Oryzias latipes: one gene and its partners. The protein of the gene in region 1 purifies or fractionates together with the protein of each later gene. This does not show direct contact. Links are inferred from orthologs where the notes say so. Each region holds a gene or a part of one and is shown on either strand. Other genes may lie near its edges.

Region 1 (10,217 bases):
AACATTGGAAACAATCCTATCATTTCATTTTCATTACATCCGACAAAACTTTGGCAGGTCACAGTTTTCAAAATGCAGGTTTAAACTATACCAGACAAATGTACCATCTTCTTATCTGGCATGCACAACTAAACAATATACAGAACATGAATTATAAACCTCAAACGTTTATAGCAAAATGATGTAACTTATGCAATCTAGCACATTCCCCCTTTCTTTTCAAAAGTCACATTTTAAAGATCAACAAAGTCATTGTGAATATTATTTGAGGTAACCCAACTGGTTCTTCGAGTGGCTGGGTGGATCACCCTGCGGCCTGACTTGGCAGTTACCACATAGATATGTCAGTAACTGATGGTGGTAAAGGAAATTAGACGAAGAGTCAGAATGAGGAACAGAAATTTAAATGCAATTTGCTTACTGTGCTGGAGTTAAGCAAGGATGTGGCACCGAAAACACAGCACTGTGAACCCTAAAGGAAGAACAACAGTTAGAAAACTGAGGGATGACTATCAGAAAAATATGGAGTAAAGCCTTAGTCCCAACTGCCCTTACAGGAGGACTTGGGCTGAAATATGGGAAAATCTGTACGGGGCACACAGGTTACCCGCATGTAATTTCAAGGTCGTAGACGACTCGGCTAGCACACAGGGCGAAAATGTCCATGCACATTTTTTATTACGGGCATGCTGCCAGTGACAGGTCGCAATGAACACTTAAGCAACACGCAAGGGTAAATAAGGGGGAAGTAGGTGAGATTCAGGTGTGTCGTACCCCCTCAAATTGTACACACTGTGCAAGGGGCCTGTTTTTGACATATGTGCATGCTCCCTGCACGCCCATTTCACAGTTCTTGTATGCAGGTAGACTGTTAAAATTGAGTAAATTCTACAGTGTTGTTTGCGTTGGCATTGTATAGGCGTCCTACAAGCGCTTACACATCACCTGAACACATGCGTGCACCATTTGAGCATGTCAGTGAGGAGCCAATACTCGCACTTACTTACGACTAGAGGGTGGCGTACACTGTACGACATCATCCCCCGTCAGTCATAAGTGCGTTTAGTTTACAATTTCTTTACAAATAATTCAAGACATACTTACCGCACGCACGACAGATCTCCATGTCCTCAGCTGTTTGGATGTATATTTCTGTGTTGTGAAGCAGACCTTTCATATTCTTAGTACCGGTTTGGAGTGTGTCAAGTGGTGTCAAGAAGAATGCGTGTTCTGGTGTTTAGAAATGTCTGGGCAGGACTTGTACCTAGGTGCTGACTTGGTGTGTTACGATAGTCTAGTATTGTCAGAAGTGACAGTGCAGTTTTTACAGCTATTTCTGATTGCAATCCAGTGAGGATGTTCTGTGTTCACATTCCCACAAAACCACTATAGCTGCAACATTCAGGAGCCAGTCTCTGAAATTCCTGTGACCCATTATCTGAAACCATAACATCTGGAAACCCTTGTCTTGTCTTCATCTTTTCGATGGTGATAAAACTCGAGGTGTTTGGTGGATTATTAAACTGGAGCGGTAATCCAGATATATTAGATGGTTTTTGTCGTTGTAACAAAACAAATCCACTCCTACTTTGGACCCTGGTCCATAGCAGAGACGTGTGGTCAGGGGAGGCAGATAAAGCAGTGCCTCACCTGTCATAATCCTCACCTCCCATCACAAATGCTAATAATACCAAAAATGTGTTGTCTAATCTCTACTAAAAGGCATTCTTTATGTATTTTTCATTCTCAAAATCCCGTATCTTGTGTACTTCCTATTCAACTACAGTGCAGGCTGTGAGATGAGCCTCACTGCAGATTGCCCAATTCCATGCAATCCGGGCGGATTGCGTGCCTTTAGTTTGTTCAGCGTATTTGCTAAAATGCTTTTATACTTTGTAAACCTTTTTATTACATGTCCTCACTTTCCATTAGATAGTTATTGTGTTTTATATTTGTCTGTTGTTTATTTGGTGTTCAGATCTGACATAAAGCTGAAAGACAGAAAGTGACGCAGGCAGAGAGACGAAGAGGGCGTTCATAAACTCACGTTTGTTCTTCAGCTGTGTAATATTCAAAAGCCGTCCTTATTTTCTTTTGTTTCGACTGACCGACGGATGAAATGTAATTTTAAAAAGTCGGACTTTCACTGAAATGTAAAGTAATAAATAGTCGATGATCAATGGTGGACCAACACTTCTGCAGTGAGACTGAGAGACTAAGGGAAGATAAGGAGGAATTTTACGCTCAGGTCACTGAGATTATTGACTAGAAGGACAGATAAATGGGCTTTGTGTACAAGGAAAGGGTAGACAAGGGTGTGTGTTAGATTTCCAATGCTATAGGATGGCAGTAGCATCTCTCTTCTTGTTGTTTTGGGTTATTATAAGTATTTTAAACTTCAGGAAAAGTCTGCTGCAATTTGACCAGAAGTGCTGGTATTGAACTTCTTTTCTATTTTTCATTCAAATCTGGAATTAGTGACTCTACATGGCCACAAAACTGACAACAATTTACATAGTTTTGACTAAATATCCAGACATGAGAACTTTCCTCCCTGGATGGAGGCAAGGGGTCTCCTTGAATTTAACCCTTGTGCTATCTTAGATGACCCCACCCTTACATTGACGTGTTCTCCCTACCATGACAAAGGTGGATAAAGGTGGAAAGGTTTCATGTAATCCATGGACACCAGTGAAGATCACAAATCATTGAAGAAAAAAGGTTCAGAGCACTGTCTAGTGGGTCTAGATGACCCAACTCCCAATGTTGAAGTGCCTAGGATAGCACAAGGGTTAAAATAGTGGCTATGGAAGAACATGATAGAAATGTCTGGGGACACATACATGCCTTTTGCTGCACCTTTAATGAAAATGTTCATTGTTTTTCAGACTTTTTTGAGCCTTTTGACAAACAGGTAGGCTCTTAAGTCATTCAAACTCTACACCTGAACACACAGTGTGCGGAACTGACCATTGCATTCAACTTTACAGGAAAAGTCTTTCAGCCTTCCAACAAGCAGGTCAGTTGGAGTTCTTTTTTCTTATCAAGACATCTTAAAAGTAAAGATTTGATACGAAAAATATGAAAAATTTGAATATAAGTTTGGATTTATCATTTAGATTAGTGGAAACGGGGCATTTTGGCTGAAATCGACATCACAAAATGCACAATTTATTAATTGCTTCTGAAAAAAGGAGAAAAAATCAAGCAGTGGATGAAATCTATCAGAATAGGACTCAGCCAGTTATGTACGGTGAGGTTGATGGCTGGTGAGGCACCGACTCCTCTGCAGTCAGATTTACAATGAAAGAACTGAATATTTCAGGATTCATCCAACAGCAGGAAACAGCTTATAAAATACACACAAGAACATATTTTTCCAACAGAGAATATTTCTTTTATAAACATGGATAGAACACTCTTCTTCATATGTACTGTAAACAAATTAAAGTATACAGATCTGTTCAGCACACATTTGACCCTCAGTAACTATTTCTGGTATTTTTCCAACTTCAAATTGTGGTGCTTTAATCAGTGCTATCAAATGTTGTCTGTAAAAATGATCATAAAAATAAAAGAAATGATGTTACTTAACTTTTTTATACTCACGCCCATGTTATTTTTAAAAAACAAACAATGGAAAACATGTTTGGCCTTACTTTTTGAGTACCTGCACCGATCCTTCTCCACAAAAAGCTCAATGATCTGTTGGAAAATTTTCCTTTTTTTCCTTTAGTTTATGAGTTTCTCCCTCTCAATGGAGACAGACGTCCTCGGTCTGTTCTGTTTCTACGGCGCCAGTGTAGCTACAAAGCAGCTGTCAGCTCACATCTGCCCCTGCTGGTGAGGCTTGCTTAACCTAAAGCCTTTTCTGCGGGTCTACAGCAGTGTTTTCAGCGCACTGTTACTCTGCTCTCTGTTAACATATATTAGCCGCGTTTACATGGGCAAAAGTAATCGGAATGAACGCCTGATCGGAAAGAAAATGCGTCATCGAAACACGCCGTTCGGAATACTCTGCCCCGGTCAGACTCGTTCGGATCAGAATTTCTTTCTGATCGAGATAGGTGGGTTATACCGATCATTTATCCGATCGTGGAGCATGTAAACGGTCATTCCGATCGTGTGTCACTGCTGCTCTGGTTTACATCATGCATAGATGGTGTTTCGCTGACAGAAAGGTTTGGAGCGCAAACGCGACCAACCAGCTGCTCTGCGGCCGCCCCGTGAAAAGCGCCCCTCTCTCTCACCCCTCACAAGGGAGATGCGGGGCAGGAGCGCTTCGTGCCCCCCACGCTCACTCGGTCCACTGGAGTGAGCAGAGGAGCCGGTTTAATAATTTTGTGTCTGATGGGGGGAGGATGCTTTGTTACGTGTGCGTTTTGTTGTTTTGTTATGTGTGGGAAAATTCAGACTGCGAGCGGTCCTGCCGCTCTGGGTTAGCTGCTGCAGGACTCAGGAGAGCCGCCAGCTCACACGGCTTTGGGGCGGTCTGTCTGTGTGAACTTTTCAGAGCAGAACTAAATGTCGTTCAGTCCTTAGAAACTGTTCAAACAATCACGTGGATTTGTGTTTCTAGTTGTGTCCCGAATAAAAAAATAAAGGCAGATGTTATTCCCACACATTTACGTGCAGCCAAGATGCTGATTGCTGCGTTTCTCGCATGGTCCTGGATTTTGTGTCCATGATCAGGCTAATCATGTTGTTAGCCCGTGTTAGCCTGTCCTAACCCTTCTTCCAGCTTAATTCTTCCACAAAAAAGCACTGACCACACAAATAAAACGATGAGCGAACAGGCGCTTCATAATATTCATGACATTAAAAAAAGCACGTTTGGAAGATTGTCTCGTATTACGGAGCTGCTGCACATGCTGTCTGTCTGTGGCAGCGGTTTGTTTACAACGGGACCTAGTTTCTCATCCGGGTGATTTTACACTACTGCGCATGCCCAAATCATTCCGAAAGTGTGAGCCATGGGAACGTTTGTTCTAATCGGAAAAAGGTTTTCTGTGCCCATGTGCACGGGGGAATTTTAACCCGACCATTGATCCGATCAAGTCCTGCAGTCAAACACGAGACGAATTGCTTCAGAGCCTCACCCAGAGTTTCAGCTCAGTTTGTGATCACGCAACACTCAAATTTGGCGATTTTAACCTCAGAAACTGTGGAAAATGTGTTGAGTTGACTGATAATTAATATTTGACACAGATCAGTGGAAAACAATATTTACGTGATTTACCTTTGTTGATTTTACCACGATTATGACAGGTGGGCACAGCGTCACCTGACCGCACGTCACTGGACTCAGCGTATTTTTGAAAAGCACATTATTCCAAGGACTGGGTTTCACACAAACCCTTTATCATTGGTTGAAAATGTTGGTACAAAAAGACTAGATACGAAAACAGAAACCACAACAGCCAATAAAAACAAGGAGTTTTTGAAGAGACTTCTATAATCTGTATTATTGCTTTTTGCTATTGATTTTTCAATTTCTGAGATTTTATGAAGCTACATGTCCTTATAAGGAGGTAAAAGAATAGTAGAATTGAATTTACTGTTTTTCAATCAACAAATTATTCTCTTCAGGAAAATAGCATCAACTTAATATTGATCATGTCTCTGTTTAGGAAATATTGATGCTTTAAGACCCCACAGTATGTATGGTGACAACACATAGAAAAGAAATAAAAAAGTGGCAACTATAGCCCAGTTTGTCTAAAAAACCTAACTTTAAAATGATTCATCCTAAAAAAAAAGCTCTTGGTTTTTTTTAAATTATCTGCAAAACGTTCCAACCATATAGAACAGATTCACCAGAGGAAGCCAGAAATGGCAAAAAACGACTATACCATGCATGACTCAAGATTCAACTGTCTTCCAGGCTGTGTCCACCTGTTCAGACCAAACTGTCTTTCAGTTTACCCCCCAAACCCAGCACCAGGTAGGACAGAAACCTTTCCAAAGGGTCCTGAGACTACAGAACTTTGTGGTTTTCTGTCAGACACTCCCAGCAATCCTGAGAAATGTGCTGTAGAACTAAACATTTACTCACTTACTTTCTGCAGGTCAAACACCAAGAGATTTTCCGCTGATGTAAGTGACAACAGAGAACACACTTGGTTTAAAAATGATGATCTTTTGCCACTCACACCCCGTTTGCACTTTACCAGGACGAAAGGCCCACACATGACTACGAGGAGGAAAATTATGAAGTCTGTGATATAAATAAAGGTGAGCATTCTGTGGAGAACTGCGCCATCTAATGGACAACCAAAAACGATTTCAGGTTAAATGTGTGCTTCTTTAGGTTTCAGAGATCAACACGCAGGTGACCTTCCGCCTGCCCCACCCAAACCTCCACCCAAGGAGTAAGCCTGAATATTTCATGTCCTTATAAGGAGGTCAAAGAATAGTAGAATTGAATTTACTGTATTTCAATCAACAAATTATTCTCTTCAGGAAAATAGCATCAACTTAATATTGATCATGTCTCTGTTTAGGAAATATTGATGCTTTAAGACTCCACAGTATGTATGGTGACAACACATAGAAAAGAAATAAAAAAGTGGCAACTAAAACCCAGTTTGTCTAAAAACACTAACTTTAAAATGATTCATCCTAAAAAAAAGCTCTTGGTTTTTTTTTTAATTATCTGCAAAACGTTCCAACCATATAGAACAGATTCACCAGAGGAAGCCAGAAATGGCAAAAAACGACTATACCATGCATGACTCAAGATTCAACTGTCTTCCAGGCTGTGTCCACCTGTTCAGACCAAACTGTCTTTCAGTTTACCCCCCAAACCCAGCACCAGGTAGGACAGAAACCTTTCCAAAGGGTCCTGAGACTACAGAACTTTGTGGTTTTCTGTCAGACACTCCCAGCAATCCTGAGAAATGTGCTGTAGAACTAAACATTTACTCACTTACTTTCTGCAGGTCAAACACCAAGAGATTTTCCGCTGATGTAAGTGACAACAGAGAACACACTTGGTTTAAAAATGATGATCTTTTGCCACTCACACCCCGTTTGCACTTTACCAGGACGAAAGGCCCACACATGACTACGAGGAGGAAAATTATGAAGTCTGTGATATAAATAAAGGTGAGCATTCTGTGGAGAACTGCGCCATCTAATGGACAACCAAAAACGATTTCAGGTTAAATGTGTGCTTCTTTAGGTTTCAGAGATCAACATGCAGGTGACATTCCGCCTGCCCCACCCAAACCCCCACCCAAGGAGTAGGCCTGACTCATTCTCATGTTTCGCCAATAACACCCACTTTTGATAACAACTTTCCTTCTGATTTTTTTGTCTTTGTTTATTAGAAGAGTACCACAATCACCCTTACAGTCGGTAGGAGTGCTTTCTCAATAAATATTCGTTCACAGAATACCAACTTTTCATCACCGTGTCACATGATCAAGAAGGGATTTCTGATATTAAAACCCTGGTTGTGATTCTTATTGCAGAGACCAGAGTTCAAATCGAGAGAATTTGAAAGTAAGTCAGTTTATTGGTTCTGTGCTTTCACCAATAAAGTGGTAAATATTTACAGTAGAAGCCCTAAAGCAGCTGCAGAACTGTTTTCCTTTTGTGGTTTGTGCATTTCAAAGGCAGCAAGCCCAGCAAGCCCGAGAAGCAGTTATCTTCCCTGTCCTTCAAACGACCAAAGTGAGGCTTCCTGCTCCACACTACACATTTCTGAAGCAAAACACAAAGTCACATAAGTCTGGGTTTGTGCTTTAACTGGATCTTTTTTCTTTAGGGCTCCTCTTCCACAGTTCAACTCTCTAAGTCAGTATGTCTTTGAAGCAACAATGAGTGCAAAAATCCTCCTCATCAAAGTGAAGCGACTAAAATCGTGTTTGTTTCAGAGCCCCCTGAGAGAGGAAGCCCCCCAGTGGACAACGGCTCAGTGGATCAAGACAAGGTTTGCTTTCGCAACACAATGTAAAAAAATTAAATCTTCACGTTTTTAAAATTTGTGATGTGTACTTGAAGACATGTCAGGATGCAGACGTCTGTAACAAAGCCTGGTACGCCTCTGCATGCGACCGCAGGACTGCAGACGAGGCTCTGATGCGCTTTAACAAAGTGAGGATGGAAATGTTGATTTCCCCGTTAGCCGTTAGCTGCCGGATCTGAGCAGGACTGTCTCTGTTTCAGGACGGGGCCTTCATGGTGAGAAAGAGCTCCGGCCACGATGCTCAGCAACCGTACACCCTAGTGGTGTTCTACAAGGGCCGAGTGTACAACATCCCCATCCGCTTCATGCCAAACACACAGCAGTTTGCTCTGGGGAGGGAGAAGAGAGGAGAGGAGGTCTGATCTGAGCGCTTTCATACTAATTACAGAACAAGGCACTTTGTGCGCGATGTTTCCTGTGCGTGGGATGGGAATAAACTTAAAAAAGGTTTTTATTATCACAGACGTGTTATGAAGTATAGAGAAATATGTTGAGCTGCAAACATTCAAAAGTGTATATCTTGATATTAATGTACATTTTTGATATAATAATCCCAGCCCATGGATTCAAGTGTGTGTTGTTTGAACACTTTTCTTTACAATGATTGTTTCAATTGGGAAATGACAGTGAGTAAGGCTGTTTGGGTGATAATGTGTCTATCCTTTTACTGCTAATCCTAACAGCCACTTCAAGTTAAAAAAGACTTTTTATCTAAAAAAAACTTGAAGAATTGACTGTAAATGTCTCTTTTTCCCTCCAGTTCTTCAGCAGTGTGTCCAGCATCATCGAGAACCACCAGAAGAACCCTCTTGTGCTGATCGACGCGCAGAGCAACTCCAAGGATACCACCAAGCTCTGCTTCCCTGTGAAGCCATGAAAGTCCTTTCTGACTGTCGTCAGGCAACATCCATGAGCTCCCGGCTGCATCTGCCGGCTGCGCTGCCGTCTACGCTGCAGACGCTGGGCCCCTGCTGTCGGCTGCAGCTACAATTGGCCCCCAACCGAACAGAGAAGGCCGCTTTGTGTCAAGCTTCCATCCATCGAGCCAAAGAGGAAAAATCCTAAATGTCATGTGTTCAGCACAACCAACTAAAATGATGCACTGAATACAAAACGATGTGATTGCATATTACAAATATGAATGTTCATGTTTCCCTTTAATAAACAGCAGCATGTGAGGTGTATGAATTTAAGAATGAAATAAAAACGTGTGTTCAGAGTTGAAACAAGATCAGAAGAAAATGTTTTCATTGCTGCTCGGACACTTAAGTGACAAAACTGCTCAAACATATTTTATTGTTTTTTCCATGTTCAGTTGGACTCAAATTAATGCAAGGAATGAGACAATAACGCAAAGAGAAGAACCTTTTTTTCTTTTTAACAATGCTTTGGAGGAGAAAGACAGTCCGTGTTCCACGTCTGCTCACGTCCTCATTCATAAAAAACGGCTCCGTTCTGAAAAAGTAATGCTGTTTAGACGCGTGACCATTGGTTGCATAACTTAATTAATAACCAGGCACTTGGTGAATATTCTCAGAAAGGATTTTACAGTACCACCAGACAGTCTATGTACAATTATAACAAAATGGAGACTTGAGAAACTGGGATTTGTGCACAATAGAAGAGGAATTGTCCTTAAATCCCCGACCGCATCCGTCAAGCCACAGCGCCGCCGTGTGAGCCGTGAGGGAAGGTGTGGCGCCGCGGCAGGACGCGCGCGGCGTGAGATTGTCAAAGCCCGATAAAGTGAGGTAACAGGGAAAAGAGGAATCCTCTGTTCATAACACAACCAAAAGATTCCATCCTCGCTTCAACACAAACAGGACTAAAAAGAGGAAACATTCAATTTAGCTAACTAATAACATTTACATTTTCTTAAAATTATTTTTAGCAGATTTGACTTCAGAAAACAAAAGGTTACCGCATGAAACTGTCTCATCAGTTAAATTAACTCCCACGTCATGCGACTCTCATAGTTGCCATATTTTGTGAACAAAATACAAGTTTTTACAACAAAAAATGTACAAAGATTTCTCTAATGGCCAAAACAATAATGAATAAATGAAGCATATATAGGATAAACCATAAATACAAAGAATAAAACAGCTTTTTTATGCTTTTGCTTTCTTAAACACACACTTTGGTATTTCAGAGTAACTTGAGGGGACGTCCCAAAAACAAATATGGCAGCCCACTCCCACATTAGCTGATCCCACGAGGGTATGGCAAATCTACTACCTACAGT
Region 2 (11,161 bases), on another chromosome or scaffold:
GGTGCAAAGTGAAAAACTAAAGATTACCCACACAAGTCTTTTTTTTTTTTTTTTTTTTTTTTTTTTTGCTTTTGTCTCTTCCTGGTATATATTTATGGCAAAACAACTGTTAGTTTAAAAGTGTAACTGTTTCCAAGCGTGTTCCTGTAAGGCACATTTAACAAGCTTTGCCTTATCATCCAAACTGTCCAAAAAAGCTGATATGAAAATAAGCAGGAAGAAAAAAGGGAAGTAAGTGGAGTCGAGTCCTCTCTGTGGGTGTGTTTTAACGCCTTGCATCACAGACTAAAGCACATTTTAGGAGCTACTGAGGCAGACGTTAATGTCAGAGCTTCAAACCTCAGCATCTATAGCTGTTCGACTGATGCTTTCGCTTTCTGGCTGCTGGGTGAGTGGTGACGTTCCAAAAGCCGGCTGCAAAAGTTTGCTTTTTAGTCACTCATTATGTTTACTGCATAGACAAAGCCTGCCGTGAATTATAGTTATCTACAAAGTACGTTTTTTTTGTCAGCTTGTACTTCTCTTGCCTGCAAAATCTTAAGGACGTTATAGCATTCCTCGATGTGTCAAAATGCTTGTTTTGTTTAAAGGCTGCATCGCTTTTAACACTGTTGCGTGTTCTTTTCTAAGTTATTTAACTAATAAAAATCAGATAATGGTTTAAATATGTCACCCGCTTTGAAACCCGTGTCTGATAACTGTCTAAAAAAACTTTTGATCTTATGCAGTCAAGACTCCCTGTCACATGACTCACTGAACACATCGGCTTTTAACTGCTGTGATAAAGTGAAATAAGTGACAGCATTCTTTGTGGTTAAAATATGACTTGACAGGTTTTTCTCTCTTGTTGCTTCTACCGTCTATACCCGCACACTAACACACTCACACATACACAACTAATCTGTCAGGAAACATCAGGAAAGACAGCATCTTGATGGGTTCCTGTGTGGCAAAGGGTTTTCGGATAGTGTTTTCCATGTATCTGTGTAAAAAAGAGGCATAGACGTGTATTTACATTGATTCACATTCTTTTATGCTACTCAAACAGTATTTGTGTATGAATTTGTTCATTGTGTCACATAGTGGGATGGTAAACAAACCCTGCACTGTTGTACAAGAAAGGCATACCTGACTGTGCAACACATTTCAGGACAATCTCAGATAGAAATGTAGCAGGGCTTGTAACGTTTTCAGCCCCCCACAAAAAACAACACAGCACAACCTTGATGCAACTTCCCCATGGGTTTGCCTGTGTCAGCCTCTGTGAGTCAACTCGCTTCAGAAAACGGCTAACAAGCAAATGTCTTTTAGGCCGCCACAGTCTAAGCACGCACGTTCAAGGCTTTTCTGCAGAGTCTTGGGACTGTCACAACTGACAAAGATGGCAAATGAGGAATGAGAAAACAATACTTGGCAGAAAAGGGAACACCAACAGACTTTATAAGTAGTGTCACCCTCATGTTAAGAAATGTGACACTCTTGGTTAGCAGGGAGGTACAGAAGTTTCTGGCATGTTACTGTTACACTTCAGAAAATAAAAGGAAGTACTTAACGGCTTAAAATAGGCTGAGCTGTAGAGCAAAAATATCTGACACAGGCTTATGGACTCTGAGCTTTCAGGCGTTTGATAAAGAGGAGTTTGACCAGATACTGACATTTAAACTTCTGCTGTACACGACAGAAACGGTCAACTCAAACCAATCAAATTAAATTAACCGTCTTTAAGATGGAGCGTCCTATATCTCACTTAGGTGTTTAGACAGACTGGCAATCTGCCCAGGGTGTACCCCGCCTTTACTGAACAGTAGCTGAGATAGGCTCCAGCAACCCCGTAACCCTAAGAGGAATTCAGCAGGTTCAGAAGTGGATGGATGGGTGTTTAGTGTTTTCCTCTTGTACCATATGTGGTATCATTTTGAAGACAGATGGTCATTCATCTGTGCTCCGTTTCCGTGTTTTCCTATTCAAGTGCCTAGATCGATGACCAGCTCAGCAACAGCAGTCTCACCTTCACAGTCAGAATGACTCATAGTTATGGAGCTTTTTTTGTTTTGAGCGTGCTGGTTTCATTTCAACACTGGCGAGGTGCTAAAACCATGACACAAAGCACAGTCCCAAATGAGAACCTCCTTTATTTGCAGACTGTTTTATGATCTGTTTAAAAGTAGTCTTGTGTCTGAGTGATTGTGCGACAGAGAAAAGGAAGATTGTGAAGTTTTCCAAGTCATGATCCCTGTTTGTATTGTGTCTGCACTGAAAGTACAGGAGCCTGTACCACTAACTACACTTTTTCAAATCCCTGAAACTGGATCTCATGTAATTCCATGTGAGCGTCGGGAAAATATTTGAAATCAAGCAATAAAATGTAGTGTAATATATCACAGATAAGTTATTAATGTATTTTACTGCATGATTTCTAATTTTATTTAAGTCACAAGATGGCTGAGGGAAAAAGATCTCCTACTAAAGGAAATGATGGAATCGCAGGACAATCCTGACGTTAGACCGCTGACTTTAAATGCAAATTTCGGCTAATCACTAACTGATAAGTGCAAAAACTGCATGTCTGCTCATCTCTCCTCAGATCTTTAATCTCATCTGACACAGCACTGTTGCTCTGACTCTATGAACAACAGGTCAGTGTTCCGTTTCCTTCTTTGAAAATATGGTTGAAGGGGAATTTAAATATTCCATTCTATACTTGATATGCAGGAAACACACCAACCGCACACTGATCATGAGTGGAGCTGTGGGGGCAATGGCTGTGATTGTAAGAGCCTTCTGTTTGCTGCACTCTTCTTAAGTTTTCTGTTTGTTTGTTTTTTTGTCCCAGTGTAGATCCATCTGGGTTGAATCATGTCAGAAAACATCCTGGAAGATCTCTTCATCAAAAGATCTCAGCAGAAGAAGAAGACATCTCCTCTGAACTACAAGGAGAGATTATTCGTTCTGACGGCAGAAAAATTAGCCTACTACGACTATGATGCAGACAAAGGGGTGTGTAAAGTAAACAGAGAACTGAGTCCTTGTTTTTTTTACTACTTGGACATACTTTTATTGTGAATGGATGTTGTTTAAAGCATCTTATACCCAGTTTAGACTTTAAAGTGATTTGTAATTGCTCAGGTGGCATCGGCCGCAAAGCCATTGGAAAGGAATCGGCCCAATCGCTGCGAAATGCGACACAGGTTGATGACATCATCCAGGATTGGAATTTTACACCTGTAGTACAATCACGTACATATCGCGCTATTGAAACTACAGTTGTTTCAAGTGATCAGAAGACGCGATGGCAGAGCAACCTCGATCCAGAAAATAGTGTCTTTTTTAACATTGCTGATGATTGAAGACATTAGGAAATACCGTAGCCTCTATGATACACATGCGGGGGTACAGAGTCAGATAGAGCGGACAACTGTGTTAAGAAAATTGACCATTGTGTACCTGCGTGTTCGCCAACGCAGCAAGATGTCAGCCATGTTGAAAATACCAAACCACGGAAATGCTGGACACAATAGTATAAACGCCACTCAGAAGTTCATCACAGCCATGAAGGCCAGTCGCAAGCGAAACCGGCCAACTTTAGAATTAACTAGACAGCGCAATGCAGTAGGGACACTATGCGATTAATGTGATGGCCAATCGCTGTAAGTATAAACCGGGCATTACAGCCGATGCACTCAAAAGACTCCAACTTTTTCCTTGTGTGTGAGCAGAAGCGAAAAGGTCTGAGGGGTTCCGTTGATGTTGAGAAGATAAAGTGTGTGGAGACGGTCGAGACAGAGCCCAACGCTCCACAGGAGCGAAGGTTTGCTTTCCAGGTAGAGTTTATTCTTTTTAAATAACAAGCTTCATTTTAATCTAAACCGATTTGTACAAGCTTCAAAAAGCATTCATCCAGTTTTTCAGACTTCCCATCCCAAAACTATTACTTATTTACTTTTGCTTTCACTTAAGTTTCCAATAGAGCCCATAGATTATAACATCCTACATCATCTATACCACTTTTATCTTTTAAAGTGTGCCAACAAACATTTTGCTTTGCATCCAATTCTTTTTCCAATGAATTCAATGTATACAAAAAAGAAGACTCCCCAAAGCTCTTACAGACAAAAACTATGAAAGTGTCTTCTTTAAGAAGTGAAACTGTCTCAGATGAACCAGGGGATTTCAGAACAATGCAGGTGTTGCCAATGAGCTGAATGGTAAGTAATGGGAGTAACTGTACTGTCTGTTCCACAACAAGGACATTTAAGCACTGCAGCACCAAAACGTGGGCAAAAAGTAGCAACAATATTATATATATATTTCATAATATGTCTTGATAGGAGTCTGCCTTGCTAACTGGCAACATAAGAAAGAATTAGTTCCATTAAACCAGTCAATCTCCACATCCTCCTGAATTCAGTAGCTTTTAAATTATGATCTTACATTTTTATTGAGTTTAGTTAGTAAATAGATATAAGACATTGTACGCATTGGCATTTATTCAAATATTTAAAGAGTGATTAACATTCAGAGGCACAAGTAAACCCTTGTGTTAAATTTGAGTGAATGCAGCTAAGGTGAAGTGTTGGGGTAAATGAAATAAATAAAAACGGAGACTGTGATTTTTGCCTCAGGTGGTCTACGATGAAGGGCCTCTATACATCTTTGCAAAGTCTGAGAACAGTCGTACCGAGTGGATTACAAAGCTAAAAGAACGTAAGTCCACACAGACTTGCATTCTGTGTCTCAATATTCTGTATATGTCACTTCTTGTTTGTGAAACAGAAGAGCTATGCAAATGCAAATGTTGATTTCATGTAAATGGTGCAGACGTGTGTGTCTGTTCTTGTGCACAGTGGTGCGCTACAACAAAGACCTGATGCAAAAGTATCACCCCTGTTTCTGGGCTGATGGCGTGTGGCTGTGCTGCCAACAGGAAGTTAAACAAGCTATGGGTTGCAAAATATTGGATAAGAATGGTAAAAAAAAAAAAAAGATTTCCTTTGTGTGATACATTTTTCAACAATTTAACAGCTGATCCAAATATGAAATTTATTGTTGAAGGTTATGCATCTAGAACGAGGTCGACTAGAAAGCCTCTTCCACCGACCCCATCAGAGGTAAGGGTAACTTTAGGTCTCTAATAAAATAAATAATTAAGATATTAAGTTTCGGTTTTGTTTCATACTTGTGCAACACATCTGCTATGTGCATGATTTCATGTCGTCCCAGGAAAAGCCCAGTCCCAGTCGCCGTCTTCCACCGCAGCCTGAGTCAGCTGCTCCTTCTTCAAGCATGACTGTCATAGCTGAGTATGATTACACGCCCATGACAGCCCAAGACCTGGAGCTGAGGACGAATGAGGAGTACACCATTCTGGAGAAGTCAGACCCCAACTGGTGGAGAGCCAGAGACAAATACGGGTCAGAAGATGCCAAATAAAGAATAACATAAACCACTTTACTTTGGACCCTTACAAACACATTTGTATTTGTATGCTAAAAACGCTACTTATTTCTCTTTGCTCACAGCAGTAAAAGTCTAAAAATTAAATTAAGGCATTACAGATGGAAGGCAGATAGAATTTTCCACACTATAGGGCGCAAAAGATCAGAAGGCGCACCGTCAATGAATGGTGTATGTTTGAGCTTGTGTCATAAATAAGGCAAGACAAAAGTGTTAGAGATAAATTCATCAGTCAGACTTTACTAACTGAGGTCACAGTAATTCTAGAACTTGTTTATAGCACGCTACACGTTAGCTGTGTTGGCGTGCTCACAACATCTGTAACTCCCAACCTTGTTTGAAACATAAAAAAACCAAACTGATATCTCTAAAAACAAACGTTACTGTGATTACACTAACTCCCAACTTAGTTAGTACAGTAACAGAAAAAAAAACACAGTCCGACACCGCTACACATTAGCAGCACTAGTGTGTATTCACAAAAACACCGTGTACCTCTAAAAATCCCTTTGACATCAGTAAACACAAGCAGAATGAATCCGCATATAAGGCGTTCTGGGTTTGAAAATAATTAAAGCAAATTTTAAGTGTGCCTTACAGTGCAGAAAATATAGTAATATTTGAATTTGTTTTGACAAATACCTAAAAAATATTCTACTAATTGCAATAAGAGATCTTGATTATATTTTACAGGAAAGAAGGCTACATACCAAGTAATTATGTTGCAGAAGCAGAGTCCGGCCTTGAAAGATTTCAGTGAGTACCACCTTTCTGCCCTGAAAATGGTTATGTTCTGTTTCTAAGACTTTCAAATGTTTAATTTAAAATGATAAATGTTTATGCGTTGTATCAGATTGGCACAGATGTATTTAATTGCCAATTTCATGAATTCTGGAGGTAAAAAGCAGTAAGAAAAAGACAGTTCTGTTGTTTTCGACAGTTGGTACTGCAAGAACATGAACCGCAGTCAAGCAGAACAGCTGTTAAAGTCTGAGGTAAATAAATGCTGCGACTACAGCATGTTTTTTTTGTTTCCTTCCGAACTAGAACCAGAACTTTTTTTCTGAAACTCTTAAAATGTTCACTTTCAGAACAAAGACGGCGGTTTCTTGGTGCGGGACTCAAGCAAAGCTGGGAAATACACCGTATCTTTATTTGCCAAGAGTGGCGCGTGAGTAAACTTGTGGAAACACTGCCACCATTTTTTTATGGTTGCTCCTTTGGCGTCAGTCATGTGTAAACTTATGAAAAGAAGAACTGTGCAAAATGAAAGCGGAAACGGCTGGTCGCAGAGAGAAAGATGTAAATCTTTTTATGCCAAATTTGGGCTAATCTTACTATTTAAGCTGATCTGTACTGTGGTTTACTCTGAGGATAAACTGTAATATAGTTACTGTCAAAGTCAAAGTCAAAGTTAGCTTTATTGTCAAATATTCTGCATACACAAGACATACAGCCCAGCACTGTGGGCACTCTCACCCCACAGTGCAAGCAGCACATAAAATAATAAAATAACAGTTATAAGAATAAGAAGATGTGGACACTAAGATACGATGTGGATGACTACCCTTCAGCTGGATCTGCTGGCACTCGATTTCACTTTTTTTTTTCTCTACAGGGAAACAGGTGGAAGCTGCAGACATTACAACATCTGCACAACCCCACAGGGCCAGTTTTATCTGTCAGAGAAGCACAACTTTGACACCATCCCAGAGCTCATCAACTATCATCAGCACAATGCCGCCGGTCAGTCCCGCCACGGCACAGATGGAGCCCTGTAGACCAGTATGCAAAACAGTATAAATAGAGCCAGCTCATGCTAACAGGAAATTACTCAACAGCGGGAAACCCTGAGAAACCTTTACCAAAATATCAGCAGAAATAAATAATCTTGACTAAAACTTCATTATGATTGCGATTAGAATTTTGAATTTCTTTTGAGTCCACTGACACCAGTTCATTCTATATGTTAACACCACAGACTGAAATGGGCTTAAAACAAAACAGCATGAAAAAACAAATTTTTGTAAAAAAAAAAAAAGAAGCAAATGAAGAAGACCACATTTTACATTAAAAGACTGCAGTGGTTAGTGGGAATATTAAATAAACCATCCTTGTGAACAAAACAAAAAAGACCACTGAATTATATATAAGAAGGCACAAGTTGAAAGCTGCATGATTGGGTATTGGACTTGATGAAAGTTACAAAACACATTAAAAAATGCAGATTTGGTTCGATAATGTGCCACGTTTCCTGCGGCGTTCCTTTTACCTATTTTTAAACCTAATGGCAGTACAGCAAACTACTGTCCTCCATGCATCTGTCACCGTTGCTATCAAACTGTCAACCTAAGTGAGGAGGTTTCAGCTGCTTTTCTTATCTCCAGGTATGGTTTGCAGGCTGAAGCATATTGTGTCTAATCGGGCGCGACCTCCGTCAACGGCAGGACTCGGCTATGGTAAGAGTATATCTGTAGCAGACTCTAAATCCTTTTTTTTTAACATTTGATGATGAATCAACTATTTATTTCTTTGCGAGCAATTTAAGTGCCAAAGATCCTCGGAGGGTTCGATTAGAGTTTAAGTTTAAGTTCTTGTGTGGGGGTAAAAAAGCCTGCAATCACAAAAGGACCTATTTAATCTGAACTTCTATTTCCTCCAGGCGTGTGGGAGATTGACCCCCACTACCTCACCTTCATCAAAGAGCTCGGCACGGGCCAGTTTGGAGTGGTGAAGTATGGGAAATGGCAGGGCCAGCACGACGTAGCCATCAAGATGATTAAAGAGGGCTCCATGTCAGAAGATGATTTCATTGAGGAAGCCAAAATCATGATGTAAGCACAGCTAAACCCCGTCAAGGAACATCCAGGTGGTGAATGTAGTTTTCAAAACCTCTGAGAAAAACCAAATGAACTTCCTTCTCTTTTTGCTCAAACCAGGAAGCTTCGCCATGAGAACCTGGTGCAGCTGTACGGTGTCTGCACCAAGCAGAGACCTATTTATATCGTGACTGAGTTTCTTGCAAATGGGTGTCTGCTGACATATCTCAAGGAAGGCCTGATCCAGCACCCAACTGCCGACCAGCTCTTGGAGATGTGTAAGGATGTATCTGAGGGCATGGCCTACCTCGAGTCACAGCAGTATATCCACAGAGACCTGGTGAGAGACAAAGATCTACTGTTTCTGAGTGGAAAAAAAAAACACCTAGCAGCATTCCCACACTGTGTCAAGATAACCAGCAGTTTGAGTTTACAAGATAACACTGCTACATTTAATGATTATCCTTGAATCAAGGGCACTGTTTTATCTGCAGGCTGCCAGGAACTGCTTAGTAGATGCAAATGGCACAGTCAAAGTGACTGACTTTGGTCTATCAAGGTAAAACCCTTCCTGGTTTCTGATGCACAAACGGGACACGAGTCAAAGCAAAAACAATGAAACCCCTTTTCAATGTCATCAGATACGTTTTAGATGATGAGTACACAAGTTCTGTTGGCTCAAAGTTCCCAGTTCGATGGTCTCCCCCTGAAGTCCTCCTCTACAGCAAATTCAGCAGCAAGTCAGACATCTGGGCTTACGGTGGGAGGTTTAACACAAACTGCTTATTAGTTCTTGGTCACTGTCGACTGAGCCACATTGTGCTATAACATGCTTACTGCTCGCTCTTTATCAGGGGTGCTGATGTGGGAGGTGTACACTTTGGGTAGACTTCCATATGAACGCCTCAACAACTCAGAAATTGTGGACCAGGTTTCACATGGCTTCCGTCTCTACCGCCCTCAGCTGGCCAACGAAAGAGTCTACAAAATTATGACAAGCTGCTGGCATGATGTAAGTGAGCCGTCGAATTTTATTTTAACTCCCGCAAAGAATTCGAAACGAAAAATCATTTCAGTATTATTAGAAATGTTGCTCTTTGCTTTACACTTAGAAACCAGACGAAAGGCCCACCTTTCAAGACCTGGTGCTGATTGTCCAGGATCTTCTGTATGAGCTCCAGTAGACCTCAGACCCACCTCCACAGCGCAGCATCTCTGTCTGTTCCTGGAAGATAAACACAATCATAAAAACTGTTACCAGTTTGAATACAGGGCTCAAAGACCATACAAATATCCTCTGTAATGTGAATATTTGACTGTCAAAATATCACAATTACTCACTTGCTTTTACATTTTATTTGTAAAAATGCATTCAGCTGGACTGTCCATATTTCCACTTATCTCTGACAACTATTATCTTTTCCTTTGAGTGTAAGTCTGTCTGGAATGTAGACAACATTTAGTTCGATTTGTTTTTTTAATGCAGTGTAAGCTTATGTTTTGCACAAATAAAGCCAAGTATGCTAGGCTTTCAAATGTTTGGGGTTTTGTGTTTAAAACGGTCTCTTTTGGTTTAATATTATCCAAATCTAAACATAACTTCACTGTTTACATTTTTGTATAACATGATGTTTTGCAGCAATTTTCATAAATTTTAAATATTGTTTATTTGAACATTTGCAGAATATAATGCAAAATTCAACATTTATAACAATACAAGAATAAAACGCAGTTCTAACTACAAAACAACATTGTTTTGATCTTTTGAAATTATTAACTATTGAGAACAAAATTATAAGTAATATAAATTTTTAGAGAAATTGGTGATCAATAATAACCAAATAAATCAATCACATACGGAAATAAATACGTAAATAAAAATAGAAATGCGTGAGTTAACTTGTGTCATACAAAAGACTTTGAGATGTTAACCGTTTTTTGAGCCTTTTTATTTATTGAAGCGGGATCAATTTGAATATTGCTACAGTTCAAATTTCAGTAAGAAGAATCCTGTTTTTTTGTTAGCAAATTTAATTTTGTGAATATGAAATTTAGCAATATATAAACGTTGACCGCTTACGTATGCGGCCCCACAAACGCGTTGTGTGATTGGCTGAATCACTTCCGGCTTCCCGTCGTTCATTCACACACGTGAAGGTCAGCAAACTCGGCAACATATTTCTATAATTAATATAAAGAATAGAGCTACAACAACATATTTGAAGAAACTATGGACGGGCAAGGAGCAACCGCTGACCCTCAGCTTCAACATTTCATCGAAATCGAGTCTCAGAAGCAGAGGTTTCAGCAGCTTGTGCATCAAATGACGGAGGTTTGCTGGGTAAGCAGAGCTTTTCGACAGCGCACCCGTTTGCATCTAAAACAGCAATAAAACAGAAGCAGGAAACGTTTGTGAAGTTTTGTTTAAAGGTTTATTTTAGATGTTGACCTTTGGTGTTTGTGTATAACCTAACGTGATCCCGCGTTTTAGGCAAATACCGGTCCGTTTGTGAACTCGGAGAGAACGTCATCGCCGTGCACGTTTTCCAGGTTCAGATGTTGTTTTGATAAAGCTTTATTGTTCTCTGCTTGTAACAAAAAGCCCCAAATAAAACAAGAGTTAATTTCTTGTGGAGAACATTGTTTATCTTATTTAACCGGAAGTGGACGTATATAAAAAAAAACAGGTATATGTCTTGAACTACCATTTAGACGTTGTTAGTCAAACGATATTTAATTACCATTGATATATTACTAATTTATAGTCATGTATATTGATTATATATGTATATCGATGTTAATTACGGTTTAATCAAGTATGTGACGTTCATCCCTGGCAATGGGGAGCTTATGGTTTACAGTTATGCCCATTAGTCAATAAATGGTCT
Region 3 (11,161 bases), on another chromosome or scaffold:
CAAAGAAATAACAGAAGATTCAAAGAAAAAATGGGTGAACTTGACAGAATCCGCTTTAACTGTCGCTACAAAAAACTGCGAGCAAGTTTGAGATCGGTCTGGACTTCTGTCCTCTCTGAGGCAGGCGCCCAAACGTTCAAACCAAAACCTCCAACAGGACCGGCTTCATCCAGAACATCATTTACTGACGCTGCTGCAGACTGCGATCAGTTGTTTGGACTCAGGTGGACCTTTGTCCTCTGAGTGGCACCACATTAGGAATAGATCCAGTTCTCTCTGTTCTTTGTCTCTGCTCAGGAGATCTAGTTGAGGTTGTTCTTGTTGTCACAGCTGAGTTTCACAATAAGAGGAGGGGAAATTCTGCATGAAGGTGGTTGCTCACAGATTTATATTTAGTCTGAATTCATCCTTCAGTCAGTGCTACAAGCCCACAGTCAGGACTGGTCTGGGTTTGGATCCTTCAGCAGCTTTTGGCAGCTCCTGGTTCCAGATCATCAGTTCTTTTTCACTCCTTTTCCTGGCAGGTTCCACGTTTGTGAGCATCTTCACAGCTGTGGTTAAGCTTTCTCCCTCATGTCTGCATGAACAGAGTAAAAGCAGTGCATGGCGTGGGATCAGGCGTGCCACGTCCACTGATGACTGTGACGGCAGCTGGTGAAAGCAGCCAGGTTCCTGACTGAGGTTCTGTGTGCAGGATTCGGCAGAGGAACGAGAACGGTTCCTACGCCCTGTGTCTGCTGCACGAAGGAGAGGTGATCCACTATCGCATCGACAGGGACCGGAAGGACAAGCTCTCCATCCCAGACGGAAAACAGTTTGACACTCTGTGGCAGGTTTGTCATGAAGTGTTTCTCCTTTCTGCCGAGCAGCAGATGTCTGGTCCAAAACAGAACCACATTTGTAGAAATGCAGCAAAAGCCAGTTTGAGAGGCCTTTGTTCCTTGTCCTGCAGCATTTACGATTTTCAGTCTGCAAGCTTAACGTTTGTGCGAGAACTTCACGCCGCTCTTCCCTCCTACCTGCAGCTGGTGGAGCATTACTCCTACAAACCAGACGGACTGCTGCGAGTCCTCACCGAGCCCAGCCCACGACAGGACGGACATGCCGGTACGATGACGCTCAGGACGGGCCAGAGACACAGAACCTCATGCAGCTCTGATCCAAAAGAAACATTTTCCTTTTTCACAGGACTCATAGGACGACCCTCGCTTCCAGCAAACCACCCAGCGCCAGGAAACTCGCTTGTAAGTCGTGTGTGCTCATCAACTGAACACCGAACGGTTGTCAATAGAAACTTCTCATCATAAACACCATGTTTTTTGCTTTTTCAGTAATTAATGCTGGTTTGAAAAGACACATTTTAATATCAAAAATGAAGAAGTATCAGTGATGTTGTCAAGCAGACATTAAAAGCTTTAAAACGCTTTGGTGTATTCAAACTACAATCAACTTCAGATCAGAAAGGAACTGGTCAGATACTTTGTTGTTTGAGGTCAAAGTTACAGAGCTGGATTATGGTTGGACTTTAGTTAGAAAGCTCAGAAACGTGAATGTTGGGAAAGAGACACCAAAAGGGATTCCACCTGAGCCTGGAACATGAGGTTGTTCTACCTGATGCAGTAAAACTAAAGTCTGTTACGCACAAAACTATAGCATCTGATACTTTTACACCAGAAGCAGTACGCACAATCTGGATCTGAGGCTGCCACGCCTGAGACTCTCATATCTAACGCTGTAATCATGAGAATCGCACAAGATTTGGATCTTCTGATTATTTCCCTGAACTTTTGTTTCCAGCACCACGTGGCAGATGGAATTTTCTCAATGATCAAGGATGCAGCTAGAATTGGGAGGAAAAAGGTACAGATAATCTCTAAACCACACCAAGCACATCAGCAAGGACACATTTTCTAAAAGGGTCAAATTCTTTTGCTGTCGGTAATTTTGGGCAGAGTTTTGGAATCTACGGTAATTTGGAATCATGACCCTTGACTTCATTTCATAAAGAAGCAAACTGTCCAAGTATTGGACACAATAAGTGAAAGTTTGCTGAAGGTACATGGTAAATAGCGTCTTTTATGTAGCCCTTTTTTTTTTTACCTTTTGTAAGGGCTTTACAGTCACATTCATCCTCACACACTGATCAGTGGTCGACTGCTCTACCTCTGCCAAAAATGACCCTGCTTTGGCTCTGCAAACTATTTTTTTTCATATTTTTATCTGCTTTGATAAAATACAATTTTATTTTTTTATTTAATCTTTATTTATATAGAAAAAAAAGAGAGAAATTCTTATTTTCCATTGTAGCCTGGCAAAAGGTAAAAACAGAAATAAAGTGAGTTATAAGAGACACACAGAAAAAATATGGAACAGCACAAAACAATCGATAAAAAAAAAAGATTAATTCAATAAAATAATTAAAATCCTTAAACTAAGTTAAAGCAATATATTTCTTAAAAATGATCCTTAAGATCCTTGAAATAAGAGTGTCAAGTCTAAGGTTTTTTGGAAGTGATTCCAGATTCTGGGTCCTGCAGACTGAAAGCATAAAGAACCCAGGCTCCAGGTATAGTCAGGCATTGCTTGATGTGTTTTTTTAACAGTAAGAAATTAACAATCCAACCAAGCTGTCCTGTGACGAGTTCTCCTGCAGCAAAGCCTCTGACACTGGACAGCAGAGAACACATGTCAAACTCAGAACTTGAACAGGACAACCTGCCCAAAGATGTCTAAAAAAGGTTTCAGAATTAACCACACCTCGCCACAACACACCGCGCTGTGCACACAGTTTTATTTATTTGTGCTGAGGGGATCTGTTTGTTACCCTGTTTGAAATGTTTTTGTTCAGATGGAAAATGAAAACATAGCAGCTTCTAAACATCAAATGAACTTAGTTTAAGGTAGTTCTGTTCCCAATGACGAGCCGTGTAGAGCAGTTTTAGTCATTGTTTTAACTAAAAAGATGCGTCAGTGTTTTTTTTTTAAAGAACAACATCATATAGAACTGAGTTAAAGTCCCTCATGCTTCTAAGAACAAGAGAATCTGGCGTGTTAAAGTGGGTTTGGAAGTGGAAGGAGGAGCGTGGGTTCCATGGTCCAATTGGTCTGGTGCACTCGGGCTTCTCTGCTGTCAGAACCTTCAGCGGCCACCATGCTGGGATGTGTTCACATTTATCTGACATGAGAAGTCTCTCTGAACGCCTAGTGTCTGCATCCTCAGTCTGACTTCAGCCTCTGCTCTCTGTACAACCTACAGCCCAGTCGTGGATCGCAACACAGCACCACAGACAGCTCAAACCCGTACGAAACCCGAGTTCCCGGAAATCAAGCAGCCAGCAAAGGTAGGTTCATCGTGCTCGCACATGGAAGCACATTTCCTTTCAGGGTCTGTTTGTGTTTAAGAGATGAGCAGGGAAATTCAGGAATGTTCACAACCTTAAAACTGACTGAGGAGCTACACACCAAGGGTTCACGCTCTGTGGTTACAGAGTCAAAAGCCCTGAAACACAAACACCTGCTAATGATGAGCCTGTGAAGCTGATGAGAGTACAGACATGAGTCAATGTGGAGAACAGCAACAGATGACTCAGAGATGAGACGTCTTTCTCTTTATTCTTAGTGTGAAACCTACTTTTCTCCATCAGAGGCCATGCCCATGGACACAGAGGTGTACGAGAGTCCTTATGCAGATCCAGACGAACTGAGAAGCTCCACAGTCGATCGCAAGCAGCTCTTCCTGGAGGATGGAGAACTGGGCTCAGGGAACTTCGGAACCGTCATGAAAGGCATCTACAAGATGAGAAAGTATGTTCTTTTCAGCTCTCCTCCACTGACGATGTCAGCTGAGCTGGTGAGGTCAGGCAGCAGAGAGAGTTTGTGTCGCAGAGCGGGAACAAAAGTCAAAATGTTTCATTAGATTCAGTCACGATGACTTCGCTGGACAGAAACTCCCAGGTGAGCAGCCCTGAAGCAGAACTGAAATTTACATAAGAGTCAGGTTTACCATGGCAGAAAGTCTCTGAGGAACATTAACTTGATTTTCAAATAAAACACCAAGTGCTGACTCCACCTGCTCCACCTCAATGTGAAGTTGTAATCTGCAGAATGGAAGCACTTGGAGTCACGGCACACGTATGCAAGCAAAGCTAACCTCCGACAGAATCCGTGGGACTGTCCAAGTGTTAGGAATTGACTTTCGGTCTTGCCCAAGGACATTTAATTAGAGAACATGGAAATTGAACTCTTAACCGCGTGGCTGGAGGATGATCACTCCAGGTCACACGCTAATCTGTGAATGCAAAAGTAAAAAAAAACATTATCAGTAAGTCCTTCTTAAAGGAAGGCAAAATAACGTTTAACTTAATAAAACAACCTAAAAGCAAAAGAATAATCCACGGGATTAAATTAACATCCTTGATCCTTTTTGATGAACTTGAAAAGATGTGCATGAAGTCTTACCCCTCAATCCTGTGTGCCAGATCAGAGAAACCGGTTGCAGTAAAGATCCTGAAAAACGATGACAACAACCCGTCTGTGCGCGAGGAGATGCTGCGAGAGGCCAGCGTCATGCAGCAGCTGGACAACCCCTACATCGTCCGGATGATCGGCATCTGTGAGGCGGAGAACCTCATGCTGGTCATGGAGCTGGCTGATCTGGGGCCGCTCAACAAGTTCCTGCAGAAGAACAAGTAGGTGTCCAGCTGGGTCTGTTCTCAACCGTATACAACCTTTATATATATATATATATATATATATATATATATATATATATATATATATTTTGGTTGACTGTCTGTGACCTTCTGACTGAGTCTTATGTCAACTTAGAAAAAGAAGAAAATGTTGCAAACGTCTGTTGTTGCGGTTTTTTTCCTGGACTTCAGTTATTCTAAGTAGGGGCTGATTTTTCACAGGCACGCTTCCACAAAGAACATCACGGAGCTGGTGCACCAGGTGTCCATGGGAATGAAGTATCTGGAAGAGCACAACTTTGTCCACAGAGACCTCGCTGCCCGAAACGTACTGTTGGTCACACAGCACTACGCCAAGATCAGCGACTTCGGCCTGTCCAAAGCCATCGCAGAAGAGCACAACTACTACAAGGTGATAGAGGCTCAGAGAAAGGAGGCTCAAAGCCATGTCACACGGCCGCTACGTACATTTTAGGCATTTTCCACGTATGAAATGTCGGTCTTTCGGGATTCACGCTTGATGTACGTAATTCCTGTGTGTCTTGGTTGATGTGCGCAGATGTTCGTTGAGGGTTTCGGCCGACAGGTCTTCATGTGAAATCGGTTTGGAGCTGTTCAGAATTTGTGGTCGGTTGAAAATTATGCAGTTTAAGCCTGTTTTACATAGTTTACATGCAATTATTACGTAAATCTTATGCAATTTTGGATGACTATTGTGAGATGCATATGCAAATTTGTGGCTTTTACAACAGTTCCACATATGTCTAACGGACTTTTCATGCATGGACCACAGAAGTACAATTTATATCACGTAAGCAGCGCACATATCACGTTAGAATTTTGGAATTGACGCAGGAATCCCTAATGAGTTTCATATAATGAATTGCGTGGTTTATTTGTACTTGCTGTGTGGTTTTGATGTGGTTCTTACAGGAAACATCTGTGAGAATTTCATGCAAAGACTACAACTTTTCTCACTTTTCCCACGTATATTCACGTATGACCAATTGTCATCCGTGCAATAGTGGCTGTATGCCTCTGGCTTCAGAGAGGGACCATAAGGAACGAGGCAGATACATTCAGACAAATTTAGGGATGTTTAAAAGCATTCAGAGGTATTTTAAGATTTTCGAAAGCACAAAAAGACACTTGGAGAATACAATCTGGGAACAAGTGAGCCGTCTCTGCCATCTTTTACAGACAAATCTTTCTTCAGGTTCTTTGATAAATCTAAGAAGTCCTGTTGTGTCTTCTTCCATCAGAACGACATTTTGTGTATTTCCTCCAGCAAATACAAAACCACTGTTATTACAGTCGGAGATTTCCCAGGATTAGAGAAAACCTGTGGAAGTAAAATGCCCAACCATACAACAACAATATAATGAGCGTATTATTTATTTTGAAAAAGTGTTGTCTGCCATGACTTCTTCTTACCTCAGGGCTGAGGTTCAGAACAACAAGCCCCTCCCACTGGGCATTTCATGTAACATAATTAACTTGTGATTTTGCAACACTTCTTTTGCATTGTGCCATCTGCATGTGAACCATCTTCTATGGGTGACGTCACCCTCGCTCGGTCCAGTTCTCTTATATGGTCAATGTGCTAGATCCAAGATGCTCTGTGAGGCTTCAGTCCTGAAGAGTCGCTCTCCTCTTTGACTTTGAGTTGATGATAGCTGTGCCTCAAACACCTCCCAGAATCCTCTGGGTTTGTCACATTGTGTCCTCTGCGGTCACCAGAGGTAAATGAGAGCTTTTGACTTTTCTGTTCTCCTTTTTCGGTGCTGGCGTGAGTGTGTTCGGTCTTGGTTGGCAGCAGAGCTAACAGCTGTTGTCATCTATGATAAATGTATAATCTGAGATGTTTCTGATAACGTAACCGTCTAGTTTAGAAACCCGAGTCTGTTTGATGTGTTTTTGTGATTCTCTGTCCTCTTTTTTTTTTTAGCTCTAATTTCATATTTTTGCTCAGCTTTTGCCAAAGTGTGGCTCTCCCTGAATCTGTCAGTGACACCTGACACTGGTTTTTGGCGCTGTGTTTCTCCTGCAGGCAAAGGGTCATGGGAAGTGGCCTGTGAAGTGGTACGCGCCTGAATGCATCAACTACTTCAAGTTTTCCTCCAAAAGTGATGTGTGGAGCTTTGGCGTGCTCATGTGGGAGGCCTTCTCCTACGGCCAGAAACCATACAAGGTATGAAGAGTCCAACCGCAATGCTCCAGGTCACACACAGCCACGTGTCGCCACCTGCTGGTCATGCTGGTCACTGCAGCAGTGTTGGGATTTTTGTGTCGGGACAGTTTAAGCTGTGAGTCAGGAACAAAACAAACATTATCTGTGTGACTGACAAGAACAACGATCAGGACAGATGCAAATTCAGTTCTGCACCAAATAGCAAGAAATATCTAAGCAAATTAAATACAAAGACCAAATGTTCTTAATGCATTCTCATACCAGTCCAAACTAGTAATCATCAGAGTTTAGCTGTAATTCTGTATACAGTGTGAATGTAGAAGACTCCCTCTAACGTGAATTCTGGTCAAACAACAACTTCCAGGGCTTTGATTCTTGGTGAACTATCAACGTCATGAAGCTCGTTAAGTTTTACTGAAAGAAACAAACTCATGTTCTGCACGTGCACGGCTGCAAAAGTAAAAGAAGGTCAAATTGCTATACTGTATATAGAAAAATGTATCACTGTACCACAATAATTATGTAGCACTATAATTGGATTATTGTACATTGCTACATTGTATTAATGAATGATTTGATGGCCACAAAAACAGAGTGGATTTTCTAAATGATGAGGTGAGGCTCTCAGTGGGTTTTGGTTAGTAGGAGACTTCAAGGCAGCAGACCGCTGCATTAAAGTATTATTAATACGTCATTAATGAGCTCTGGGCTGCTCACTGGTGGTCAGCAGTGTTGCCTCATAGCAAAAAGGTCTGGGTTCAGATCCTGTGCATGCATGGATTTTCTCCAGACACTCCTTCCATCCTCCCACCATCACAAAAACAGCCTCATAGGTTGGTTGAGGATGTGGTTCTCTGTTCTATGCGGGGTCTTGACTTCCTGCTCTGACCCTCTGGACCGAGCAGAGGATAAGGCTTCTCTACTGCAGAAGCTCCATGCAGAGGTGAAAATCTGCCTTAGAAAAAAAGAATAAATCAATCTTTTTAAAGAAAGGAAAATAAAACATTCAACAACATATGACACACGTGCCCCTGGCTGACCTCGTCAGTTCCTGAGTTACCTTCTGGTTACATTAGAAGTAATTGGATTACTTATGTCAGCAGTGACTGATGGGAAATGCAGCATCTTTCAGTGACCGTGTTGGCGACCTTCCACAGGGAATGAAAGGAAACGACGTCATGCAGATGCTGGAGGGTGGGAGGCGGATGGAGGCTCCGGTGGGATGTCCTCAGGAGATGTACGAGATGATGCTGAGCTGCTGGACCTACAAGTGAGTGACGGGCGAGCACGAGGCACGGGCGCAACGCTGTCGGACACGCTGACAGACTGTCTTTTCTCGGTTTCAGGGTGGATGAGCGGCCCAGCTTTGCCGTGGTTGAACCCCGACTGCGCGAGTATTACTACGATATTTCGCACTGAGCCGTGGTGGGAGGACGGCTGTATGTACACGCTTAAAGCGGGAAATGAACGCTCTGGATCGGCATCAAACCGGTCCTTTTGGAGAGTCCCTTACCAAAGCACATTTCTCTGCTCATCAGTGAGGAAGGCGGCCGGTGCAGACAAAGAGGAAGAAATGCACAAATGACTCTGTGAAGAAGAGCTTCAAGATTGCTATCGTGATGCAAACCGGACATGATTAACGACTTCTCCTTCTATGTTGAATGCAGACAGGATGAAATGTATGAGTGCTTGCTGAGAGTAAAGCTGTGGCGCAGACTGAACATCAGACTGTTTTATGTCCTCTTTGCTGCTGAAGCTGCAGCAGTAAGCCGGGTGGGGGGGCTGAAATTAACAGCTATCTGATGCTGCTGAAAGCCAATTGAATTTAACAATTCCCTAATCTGTAATGCATTCTCCAGATCTACACAAGACTCTATATTTTTCAACTGAATTCATGTCTTAAGAAGAAATGAAAGAAAGAACTTCAGGTAAAAAACAGTGGTGTTCAGGTTTTGCACAGACTTTCCTGCAGCAAATATCAGCCTTGAGAGACAAGACTGAGGCTCTGTGAGTCTGCAGGAGCAGGAAAGGACAAAAAACCTGAACGGGGAAGAAAAACTGCATTTTGGCAGAATCTGGTTGATGGGATCTCTCAGAACTTACAGGCCGAGTCTCCAGACTGAGACTGGTCCACAGACCTGCAGCAGAAACACTGAGCGCTTTCTCTACAAGCCCATCAGGTAGCATCGTCCAAATGTTAGGTGACTTTAGAACCAGGTGAAAATGGGAAGCATGTGATATGCCTCCATTTATGTTTCCCAAAAAATCTTACCTTACTGCGCCAATCCCGATTGGCTGGTGATTGAGACCATAGACTGTATATGAGAACTGGACAGAGCATAGAAAATGATTTAATTCCAATTCATACCAAGTCAATTCGGTCGCCATTTTCCCACCATATGGCTGTCCCCATGTTGGAACCAGAGGTCGTCAGAAAGCCGTGATTGGTCCGAGCCGGTCTGGGTCAACATTTCTATGGCAACCCCTCTCTCCAATCAGGAATGATCTTGCTAGAAGGCCACACCCCTTCCACTTGACAGCGGGCTGCCACAGAATCTGTTGAGGGTTGAACGTTTGAGGTGACACCACATGCTTTTACTGAGACATCTGATTGGACAGTTTATAACTTGAATAACTTGCACTGCAGAAAAATAAGGATTATCAAGAAGATGCTAAAAAAATGTATCAGACCAAGAATGGTTGTCCTGACCAATAGATTGAGTAGTAGCTGTTTATGACATAGAAGTCTATGGAGTTTTGGCTTCTTGGAGCCAGTTGGTACTTCCTGTTTGGAACACCAGGGGGGAGGGGTCACTCAGTCCAGTTCTTTTATACAGTCAGTGGTTGTGACCCTCTGCCATGCATGAAGAATTTCTTCATTTTGCACCAGCATGAAGGGCTTTCTGATTTTTTTTAAAAAGGACTCGTCATTCAGAGGACTGGGATATAACAAGCAACCCAGTCTCTTTCCCGAAATGTATTCCCATGTCTCACTATGAGGAATGGCGACTCCCGTGTTCACAAGCAGGTTTATCAGCAGAGAGCGTACACTAAAAACAGAATCTTGGGAGAGTAAAAAGACCCTTTTTCAAGAAAAACGGTCTTATTTTCTGTCTTGCAAGAAAAAGTCTCATCAGAAGTGTTGCACAGTGAAATCATGTTTCTCTGCAAGACTATTTTTCTGACCTCATTAGCAGATTGTTTTCCTTATTTAAAGAAAATTTGCTAATGGGGTAAGGACCTAATTTTATGGGACCTGTTTTTACAGTGTACAGTCGCTGCTGCTAAAGTGTCCCCGATAGAGACCAGGAGGCAGCAGAGGGAGACCACGGGGGCTGACAACTGCTAAAAGGAGATGCAGTTGGGTTAGCAGCTCAGTGGCCTTGTGGAAGAGTGTCTGCCCTGTGACTGGAGGGTCATGGGTCCAAATCCACGCTGAGTGATACTAAAGAGTCGAAAAATGGGACCCAATGGCTCCCTGCTTGACACTCAGCATTAAGGGGTTGAGTTGGGGGCTTAAACCACCAAATCCTTCCTGGGTACAGCTGTGTCTGCAGCTCCCCCTCACTTTAACTTTGAACAGTTGCTTCTGTAATCCAGTGAGAGCGGCTCTAGTTTGTGAAGGGACAAAAATCCCAGAGTCTTGTCATCGTAAGAGTGCAGAGAAAAGCCGGCATCTCCAACCTCTGACAGTCAGGTGAAGAGAACGCCGTCTGGACACCGGGGCAGAGAAAACCCACCACCGGGGCAGAGGACATGAGGGACGCACTGAGAGGGAGATCAGCTCAAGCCAGTACCGCCACGCTCTGCAGGGAGAGGGGCTTCAGTTTGAACCCAAATCTCTGGAAGTCGACTCCATTGGTGTGGTGAGCGGATGCTTTGGTGGTGATACTTCTTTCAGGGTCACAGATGAATATTAAACATCCAGATGGTTTTAGGATCCAACTCCGTTTATGCGTAGCTTTTATTGATCAGCTGCTTCATACATGAACACACCCAAAGGTCTGACAGACTAAACTTTAATCTGAGGATTCAAATGTGTTTTATCACGACAGGTTGATATTTGCAGACAGGCAGCAGCTTCACTTCAGCGGTTTTTATTTAGCTCAGGCTGATCTCTATCATGAGAACATTTCACTGACAGGAAGCAGAACCATGGGAACACCAGGACCAGACCGGCGCCTCCGTGGAGTCAGGCCTCCTCCTTCAGGAGCTCTTCTTCTCCTCAAATATGATGTTAGCTGTGGCTTTTTTGGCTGTGGAGAAATGAAACAAAGTG

The links.
Region 2: the proteins of B-cell linker protein (region 1) and btk purify together in Homo sapiens (affinity purification with western blotting; 5 studies listed by BioGRID and IntAct, with this or other methods). This does not show direct contact. The link is inferred for Oryzias latipes from reciprocal best matches to the Homo sapiens genes BLNK and BTK.
Region 3: the proteins of B-cell linker protein (region 1) and syk purify together in Homo sapiens (affinity purification with western blotting; 3 studies listed by BioGRID and IntAct, with this or other methods). This does not show direct contact. The link is inferred for Oryzias latipes from reciprocal best matches to the Homo sapiens genes BLNK and SYK.

The regions. Positions count from the first base shown.
Region 1 is NC_019873.2:3,159,993-3,170,209, forward strand, and holds the end of B-cell linker protein, read left to right. Parts: intron 1-2,888; coding exon 2,889-2,914; intron 2,915-2,990; coding exon 2,991-3,019; intron 3,020-5,884; coding exon 5,885-5,944; intron 5,945-6,068; coding exon 6,069-6,096; intron 6,097-6,173; coding exon 6,174-6,234; intron 6,235-6,310; coding exon 6,311-6,371; intron 6,372-6,757; coding exon 6,758-6,817; intron 6,818-6,941; coding exon 6,942-6,969; intron 6,970-7,046; coding exon 7,047-7,107; intron 7,108-7,183; coding exon 7,184-7,244; intron 7,245-7,331; coding exon 7,332-7,359; intron 7,360-7,475; coding exon 7,476-7,506; intron 7,507-7,619; coding exon 7,620-7,677; intron 7,678-7,771; coding exon 7,772-7,800; intron 7,801-7,880; coding exon 7,881-7,936; intron 7,937-8,007; coding exon 8,008-8,100; intron 8,101-8,172; coding exon 8,173-8,328; intron 8,329-8,732; coding exon 8,733-8,849; 3' UTR 8,850-9,201; downstream 9,202-10,217. UniProt on the Homo sapiens protein: Functions as a central linker protein, downstream of the B-cell receptor (BCR), bridging the SYK kinase to a multitude of signaling pathways and regulating biological outcomes of B-cell function and development.
Region 2 is NC_019868.2:8,312,458-8,323,618, reverse strand, and holds the end of btk (tyrosine-protein kinase BTK), read left to right. Parts: intron 1-156; exon of another isoform or gene 157-388; intron 389-2,584; 5' UTR 2,585-2,636; intron 2,637-2,833; exon of another isoform or gene 2,834-2,838; 5' UTR 2,839-2,856; coding exon 2,857-2,997; intron 2,998-3,716; coding exon 3,717-3,821; intron 3,822-4,622; coding exon 4,623-4,704; intron 4,705-4,844; coding exon 4,845-4,967; intron 4,968-5,052; coding exon 5,053-5,108; intron 5,109-5,220; coding exon 5,221-5,411; intron 5,412-6,147; coding exon 6,148-6,210; intron 6,211-6,394; coding exon 6,395-6,449; intron 6,450-6,545; coding exon 6,546-6,625; intron 6,626-7,072; coding exon 7,073-7,200; intron 7,201-7,841; coding exon 7,842-7,913; intron 7,914-8,116; coding exon 8,117-8,288; intron 8,289-8,393; coding exon 8,394-8,613; intron 8,614-8,767; coding exon 8,768-8,832; intron 8,833-8,914; coding exon 8,915-9,033; intron 9,034-9,127; coding exon 9,128-9,285; intron 9,286-9,385; coding exon 9,386-9,457; and 2 more. Other genes in the region: timm8a (mitochondrial import inner membrane translocase subunit Tim8 A), read left to right, coding at 10,504-10,614. UniProt on the Homo sapiens protein: Non-receptor tyrosine kinase indispensable for B lymphocyte development, differentiation and signaling. Binding of antigen to the B-cell antigen receptor (BCR) triggers signaling that ultimately leads to B-cell activation.
Region 3 is NC_019870.2:27,532,357-27,543,517, reverse strand, and holds the end of syk (tyrosine-protein kinase SYK), read left to right. Parts: intron 1-694; coding exon 695-833; intron 834-1,025; coding exon 1,026-1,107; intron 1,108-1,188; coding exon 1,189-1,244; intron 1,245-1,797; coding exon 1,798-1,860; intron 1,861-3,256; coding exon 3,257-3,341; intron 3,342-3,644; coding exon 3,645-3,804; intron 3,805-4,478; coding exon 4,479-4,688; intron 4,689-4,913; coding exon 4,914-5,103; intron 5,104-6,741; coding exon 6,742-6,882; intron 6,883-8,039; coding exon 8,040-8,152; intron 8,153-8,228; coding exon 8,229-8,301; 3' UTR 8,302-8,464; downstream 8,465-11,161. Other genes in the region: receptor expression-enhancing protein 5, read right to left, coding at 11,089-11,138. UniProt on the Homo sapiens protein: Non-receptor tyrosine kinase which mediates signal transduction downstream of a variety of transmembrane receptors including classical immunoreceptors like the B-cell receptor (BCR).